2 linked regions of the Nothobranchius furzeri genome follow. The protein of the gene in region 2 interacts with the protein of the main gene of each other region in a pairwise test. Links are inferred from orthologs where the notes say so. Each region holds a gene or a part of one and is shown on either strand. Other genes may lie near its edges. The genes, in order: tprkb and tp53rk.

Region 1 (4,001 bases), on a different chromosome or scaffold from region 2:
AGAACTGAATTGAGACATTTAAAATATTTTTGCTGTGTTCTGATTTATTGAACTGATTAGTGTGTCACCAGTTCAATATTTAACCTTTTCACAATATTCTAATATTCTGTGATACTGAATTTGGAGTTTCATTCGTCAGATAAAGAAAAACATTTCAAGTATGTCAGTCTGTGTGTCATGAATTATCTAACATACAAGTTTCACTTTTTGAATGGAATTACTAAAATAAATCACATTTGTCATGATATTTTAACTTTATAACCTGCACCCGTATGTAAGAGTACACCTAAATGTTCCAAATATTTGCTCCATTTGCTTTATTCTCCAGCAGAGGTTTGACAGGTAAAACAATTTCATGCTAGACTGATTTTTTGTTGTTTTAGTCTTCAGGCATTTTACTGACATTTGTCTCTGAGCACTTTGGATCTATCATTTATCAGAGCTGTGCATGAGAACCTGTTCACATGATTACACCCTGCTGGTAAAAAGACTCAGAGCCTCAAAATGACAAAACACATTCAAAATATTCAGAAAGAGGACCGTTTATTGTAGAAAATGAGGACAATGTTAAATATTGTTGAAGGATTTCTCTAAATGCCTTTAAACATTTTATCTGTATTACATAGTCATGGTATGGAACAAATCCAGGAAATAAGCAAAAAGCATGAAAAACATTTCACTCAGCACAGAGACAAAGCTTTGTGTGAGTGCGCGTGTCATTTGACACAAACTGCATCAAATCACGAGGGCTGCTCTGGTTTTCTGTCCTTTGCAGTTATAAAACATCCTTGATGGCCATTCTGCATACGACTGCATCAAGCAGAGGCCCACATTTCTCCTCCTGAGGGGTGATTTTAAACAGCTGTAATGAGACATGCAGCTTAAAATGAGTTATTTGACAATAACATTTACATTTCAAAGTGAGAAATCATGTCAAGTGATATTCCTAGTCGCTGTCAGCAATTCCCAGGGCAGCTGTGCAACTTGTCACTACCGTGTGTTTGTGTGTATGATAGTACTGTCCTATGACTCAGAGATACGCTAGATTATTTATCATATATTTATAAAATAAATATGTGCAGAATTTAAGGAAATTCTTGGATAATTTTACAGCATACAGTTTTAGCATTGTCCTGCTAAAACAAGAGAGGCTTTGCAGAAAAAGCACAAAAACTTTTATCAAATTTAACTTCTTCTAGATTTTATGACCTACTAACAGAAAGGTGAGTTTATCCATTTCATTTATTTATTTATTTTGTTTTTTTGAGGGGGTGGGCGTCCTAAAATTTAATTTTGCAATTTTTCAAGGGATAAAAAAAATGTTATTCCAATTAAACCTTGAAAAGCACAACAAAACAGTTTAAGTGTAAACTTTCTCTTGATTTTATGATGGAATAAATTATTGGAAAATATAGAATAATTGGTTCTCAGAAAAAAATCACTTAATTGAAGCATAAATTGCAAGCTCAAAGAAACAGGAAAAACTGATATTTTTAAAAATTAAGTAATAACATCACTACTTTTATGGATTTGGACATAAAAATATAAACTAAGAGAGTGAGACATCCTTGAACACGAGTCACACCTTTTTGATCTTGTTGAAGTCAGACAGCGAGGACACATCATCCACTGGAAGCTGCTGTCCATCCACCATTGCGCTGATGTCTGACACAAACTGTACTTCATCACTCTTGTGAACCACAACCACTAGGATGGAGTGATCACCATCTGAGATGCCAAATCTTTTAAAAGCCTCTGAGATCTGATTTTAGAAAGAAGACAGAAACCTTGGCAATGATAATAGCGAAACAAAAGTCAGAAAAATTCTAGTTTTTGCCTGAATATTTTCATTGTGTCACTTACATTATTAGTAGGTGAGAGATTGAAGATTATTTCTGCGTTTAAAGTTTTTGTCTTCATTTTCCCAGTTGTCTGTAGATGGACAGCTTTGTTTGCAGCCACCAACACTTGGAAAGGACCAACTAGCTGTAAAAGTACAAAACAAGTCTAACAATTTACCCGTTACAAGGATAATTTTCAAAATGTAAGCATGTACAAATTTTATATAAGAAGCCACTTTAAATTTTGACACCAAACAATTACAGTAGACTCACCATCGTGGGGTTGACCAGAGCACCGTTTATGTTGCCCTCCATGGCTTTTCGTCTCAACTCTGCTGCATTTTTGACATCCTTATAAAGTATTTGTGTCACTCTGGTATCGGGATACAGTTCCAGCACACGAGTAAGGTGCATGTTGAAAAATATTGGACAAAATTAGGTGGTTTTATTCCATTTATGGCGCTGCTTGTCGTTAACGAACAACAAACACGCACAGCCGGAACTAAAATACAGAAACACGATATGGAACGAAATGTCGTAAACCGAGGAGTTTATGCAAAAAATAACATTAAGTTAAACTGTCTAAAAATTCAATTAAATTGAACTAATTATCACCATTCATCACGCTAAATGTTTTTTTAACGAATGTAGGGAATACTTGTAACACTGGCAAGTGGCGATCCCCTGTCGGACACATTTCCAAGGCGGACATACCGTTGTTGAAAACAAATACTTCCGTTTAGCATCACTGAACGAACTTAATGCCGTTTCTCTCCGCGTTTCTGTTGTGGATCAGCTTTAATCCTCGAATTAGATCTTTATGCGCGATATAAAACAATACAATACTTAGTTTAGGAACAAACTAATTGTTAAATTTAGCTCCACCGTCCAACATGGAGAAATTTGAAGGGTACATCTTCACTGCCCTCTGCAGCACCAACTTCTTGATATCCTGTTTGGTGTTTTCTAAAATCACCCGAGAGCAGAGGGAGCCGTACATGGACGAGATCTTTCACATTCCGCAAGCTCAGAAATACTGCCATGGGAAATTTAACGAGGTAACATTATTTTTTTAACGCAGTTGTAGTCACGGAAACTGAGTAGATGATTAGGATTAGCCAACAGCTGGGCTTTTATTTTGTAATTTCACCAGTGATGTGGCAGCTTGTAGAGGTTTTAATCCCGTATTAGTTTTCAGCTTGGAACGTTTAATCTGGATCCAGAATATTTTTAGTGAACAAATGTTATTTTTTTAATGGTAGTTGAAATATATTTTTAATAATCTGATATGTTCAGTGAATGTATTAACATCTGACTGTAATATGAAATGGTAACGTAAATTATTAAATCCAATTCTACAATTGTGAAAAAAGAACCCCAAAAGATTTACTGAATGATCCAAACACAAAATTACTAAATATTTAAAATAACAAAACAAAGACTACATATAATTGCTGATCAATTTCAAATATACAACATGCTAAATATTGACAAAAAACATTGATTTACAACATGTTCAGATGTAAAAGAAAGCTATTACATTTATTAGACACAGCTATTAAATAGTGATGTTTTGGAGATCAGAAACAACTATTTAAGTTTTATAAATCCTGATTTAAACCAATCCCCACCTGACTAGCAAGTACAGAAATGTAGAGAAAGGTTTTGTATTTCTTGACAGCTGAGGCTGAGAGTCTCTTTGGTTTAACGTTTTTCTAATCTCATGTTGCTGACAAACCCTACAGTGGGACCCGATGATCACCACCCCACCAGGCCTTTACCTGATCTCCGTGGGCATCATAAAGCCTGTGGTGTGGCTTGCCGACCTGACGGGTGACATCGTATGTTCTGCTACTATGTTGCGCTTCATCAACCTGCATTTCAACTGTGGCAATCTCTATGTGATCTACCTGCTCATCTGCAAGCTGCACTTCAGGGAGAAGGTAAGACAGAATCAGTGGGATAAACAGGTTTGTGGTTTTTGCTCGTTCTCTAAAATCTCACTTCTGTTTCAGACAAGAACAACCTCTCGTCGAGTCCTATCAGCGCTGTCTCTGTCCACCTTCCCTGTGCTCTATTTCTTCAACTTTCTCTACTACACTGACGCCGGATCGACCTTCTTCATCCTCTTCGCGTACCTCATGATGCTCTACGGCTGCC
Region 2 (4,231 bases):
TAAAGACAAACATTACATTTAACCAAGAAGGACTTAAAAAAAAACTGTATTTTACTACCAAAAACAAAAAAACTGAAAAAATGAATAAATAAAACTACATAAAAAAGTGTCCACTACTTTTCTTCACTTTATAAATATGAACAACTGATCCCAGTCACTAATTTATAATATACTGTAGATTTCTGGAAGAAATTTAAATAAACAACAATTTACTACTGTACACACAAAAAAGACTGTCAGGATCTGCTCTTGTCTCCATTTTCAAGTGTTTATTGGATTCATCTGCCCCTGGTTATCGTACCTACTTGATTTATGTATACCCCGAGCTTGATTAAAATTTAAAGTCCCAATAGACGTCACACACACTGGTGTGGCAAAATTTCTCCCCAGCATTTGACCCATCCCTGTGGGGAGCGGTGAGCTGCAGACACTGCTGCACTCGGGAACTCTGCCACACTTAGTGCTGAGTGTCAAGCGGGGAGGCATTGGGATATGACCACCCAACCAGGGATTTGAACCCCAATCGGATCTCCCAGTCTAAGGGCAGACATTCATAGCACTAGGCCACTGAGCTGGTGTGTTGTCTTTGACAGATTCTCACCGTGTCAAACCTGATTTGCCACCCTACCTACCATTATCCATATTAAACTGTTCTTTTGCCTGCTAGTCTGCTGCCTGTCCACCTGCATTTGGGTCCCAGTTCAACACTCAACATTGTGACAGTGATAAGTAATATAAAACAAATTAAATGTAATACAGATTGAACGAAGGACAAATCTGAGTTAATATTCATTTGGTTTAGCTCTTAACTGATCACTATTTCTAAAACTTCATATTTATTGTCATACTATATTTTGGACTAGTTTTAACACTCTTGACAGCTAATCTGGCTTCATGTTTGTTTTATAGACTGTAAGGAAAACACGTTTTTCACCTGCCAGACTCGTCCTGTCTATGTACAGTCTATGGTCTATTCACATTGCATCCCATAAGCATGGCTGGCCAAACTACATTATCACGTGTTTAGCTAAAGCTACAATACCATACTAAATGTGTTTGTAGGAATAGCGTGGTGGTATTTTTAAAATGGACCTAAAGGCCAAAAAGCATCAGTGAATTTAAACAACAATAATTGTACGAATCTGTTCAACCCCAGGAAGCTGATAGTTTTAGCTCCGCGGCTAACTCGTTAGCCAAAAGGCTAACTATACAACGTCAACATCATATAACATTTTTGCAGCGCAGACAAATATCTTTGTTTCGATTTTAAAATTTAAAACGACTCAGCAGGACAGTTGTGAAGGACAACTTCATAGTCAGAAAATTACGCTACCTTAACTTGCGACTATCGACACACGGTCGACTGTAAAAAAGCCAAACTTCAGAAACACAGACATGACGTAGACGTACCATTTGAGGACGTAAAAGCGTCACCGCCATATTGGATGGGTCTCACTTCCCAAAGCCGAAGTACACCGACCGTGCCGTTCCCTTTGTGGCCGCTGTGTGGCATTGTTCTCAAATAAAGCCAACCAACCAAACACAGAAGAAGAACGCAAACATGGCGGTTCCCCAGTTTGTCGGTAAAGCAGATTTAGTTAAACAAGGAGCAGAAGGCCGCGTGTACCGGGCACAGTTTCTCGGTAAGCCGACCATAGTGAAAGAGAGGTTCCGTAAACGCTACCGACACCCGGTGCTGGATGAGAAACTGACCCATCGCAGGACAGTTCAAGAGGTCCGCTCCATCCTCCGCTGCCGGCGAGCAGGTACTCCTTCTGGGCTCTGCCCGGTCCCGGTGATACCGGATCCTCACTAAACCAAACCCCTCCTCATTTAACTGCATAAGTATTCAAGGTTTGGCTAAGAAACTGTTTTAAATTGAATAAATTGGCCAGATAAGTTAGAAATCACTAACTATGTAAAAAAAAAAAAGCTCATTCATGATATTTCACCACTCTTGAAACATTTCCATGGTGTTTAATCAGCAGTTTATGTGATTTATACCAGTATAGACTTATTGATTAAGAGTCTTATGCACAGATTAAAGATAATTTTCATCTTTCATAGAAACGTATCGTTGTCCCACGGCTCATTTTTCATTACGTTTATTTAGCTCACGTAGAAACGTTTGTCCGATTACAGTGTAGACCAGGCTGGAGTTAGCTTCTGATTAGATTGTTTCAAAGGTGATTCCATTCATCCTTTCATCTTGACCACCTATACAGCTTTAATTATTCACTCTAAAGGCAGAATGTTTAAACAATATTTATACCCTACATCACAGCAGGTGCAGCTCCAAATGATCATAATGACATGATTAAAATTTGATTTAAAATGCCCAATAGCTATAAAAACCTAGTAAATGCCTATTTATAGTCATTTGACCAATCACAGTCAGGGAGAGAGCATGCCAAAAACAGTTTCAAAGCTGTGGGAGTGCTGCACACAGCGAAACATCTCACAGGGATTTTGAGTTCATCATCAAACATGTACCACAGTTTTTCTCCTTTCAACCTTTTCTTTTTTGTGAGATGAGTTTAAGTGTATATAGTTAAACATAAATACAGATAGTATTTAACCATGTTAAAACGCAATATTAGAAATGTGGATAGTATTTTTCTGGTATGAAATGGCCACCAGTATGCTACAGCCTTAGTCATTTAAAGACACCCCAGTTTATTGATTTTAGTTGTCCCCATCTGAGTTTGCAGGTATGAGGACAGGTTAATTCAGTCACAGCAGCACTGGGACGTGGGCGTGATTTTGACTTTGATTGGATTTATTATTTATAAGGAAAATGAGACGAAACATGAAAATGATCCCATCATTCTGGATGCAAAGGCTAATGCAGGTCTCTAGCTTAACTTTCCTACATCCTTGACATCACATAAAACTGTGTCTTCTCCACAGGCATATCTGCTCCAGTGGTTTACTTTGTGGACTACACCTCCCACTGCATTTTTATGGAGGAAATTGCAGGATCTTCAACTGTGCGAGACCACATAGTCTCCACACAACAGGCTAACTCCTGTAAGGAGCTGGAGCTGCAGCAGCTGGCTGAGCGAATCGGCCGGATCTTAGCCAAAATGCATGATGAGGATGTCATCCATGGAGACCTGACCACCTCCAACATGCTGCTGAGGTGCAGCTCACAGGACACAGAGTCTGACCTAGTCCTTATTGACTTTGGCCTCAGTTACATCTCCTCTTTGCCAGAGGATAAGGGAGTAGACTTGTATGTTTTAGAGAAGGCATTCCTCAGTAGTCACCCCAACACAAATGTGCTGTTTGAAAAACTGCTGCAGAGCTACACCAAGTCATCAAAGAAGTCTCCAGCGGTCATCAAAAAGCTGGATGAGGTCAGGCTCAGAGGCAGGAAGCGGTCCATGGTGGGCTGAAGGGGGTTTCTGTTGCAGAACAAGAAATTCTACATTATTTTGAACAAATGTCTTATTATAATAAAAAGTAGTTTCAATAATCCTAATGTGATTTACTTTTTGGTCCACTTCACTACTTGATTTCATATGTAGAAAAAAATCATGCAAGTTTTTCTTTTTCAGGAAAATCTCTCCATTAGCTAACAGTAGTTTAGCTAACATTTGCTCTGCTAATCTGTTGAACAGTGTGGCTTGAATATTGCTATAATTAAACTAGCATGTTTTGGGCAACTCCATATTTTTATGTCTAGATTTTCTTGTAATGTTTTACAGTATTTCAACAGTATTCTATTGACCTTTTACTCTTTGGGTATAAAAAGGTTCCAAAAAATCAGCAAACAAATTTAAATTGGATTTAGACACTTTGGACTTTTCTGGAATTGAGATGTTTATTCCAGAAGCCAACTTAAAGAAGAGCCCTTTCATTCCTCATGAACTAAATTAAAAAACTGTGCTAAATCTTGCTGCTCACAGAGTATTTAGGAGGGGAGGTAATGAAAATTGGAAATGGAAAGAACATCAGTTCTCCATAAACCGGCCACAGTCAGGTGCACTACATAAGATTCTTTTACGAGGAGTCCAAAGAACAATCAGGAAAGTTCTCCAAGAGTTAAGAACAACCGGAGCAGAACTTCAGGAAGACCTTGCATCAGCAGGCACAGTTGTTTTTCGAAAGGAAACTATATGCAAGGCACTGAACCATCATGGCATCCATGCATGCTCACCACACAAGACTCTATTGCTGAACAAAAAGGCTTGTTGAGTCTCGGTTAATGTTAGTGAAACAGCATTTG

Evidence for each region.
Region 1: the proteins of tp53rk (region 2) and tprkb interact in binary tests that used the Homo sapiens proteins (3 or more experiments, as listed by UniProt). The link is inferred for Nothobranchius furzeri from reciprocal best matches to the Homo sapiens genes TP53RK and TPRKB.

The regions. Positions count from the first base shown.
Region 1 is NC_091741.1:55,582,763-55,586,763, forward strand, and holds tprkb (EKC/KEOPS complex subunit TPRKB), read right to left. Parts: upstream 2,524-4,001; 5' UTR 2,256-2,523; coding exon 2,115-2,255; intron 1,987-2,114; coding exon 1,864-1,986; intron 1,763-1,863; coding exon 1,586-1,762; intron 863-1,585; coding exon 776-862; 3' UTR 527-775; downstream 1-526. Other genes in the region: alg10 (dol-P-Glc:Glc(2)Man(9)GlcNAc(2)-PP-Dol alpha-1,2-glucosyltransferase), read left to right, coding at 2,735-2,899, 3,587-3,784, 3,857-4,001. UniProt on the Homo sapiens protein: Component of the EKC/KEOPS complex that is required for the formation of a threonylcarbamoyl group on adenosine at position 37 (t(6)A37) in tRNAs that read codons beginning with adenine.
Region 2 is NC_091753.1:42,148,790-42,153,020, reverse strand, and holds tp53rk (EKC/KEOPS complex subunit TP53RK), read left to right. Parts: upstream 1-1,561; coding exon 1,562-1,766; intron 1,767-2,910; coding exon 2,911-3,398; 3' UTR 3,399-3,673; downstream 3,674-4,231. Other genes in the region: wdr53 (WD repeat-containing protein 53), read right to left, coding at 1,411-1,513.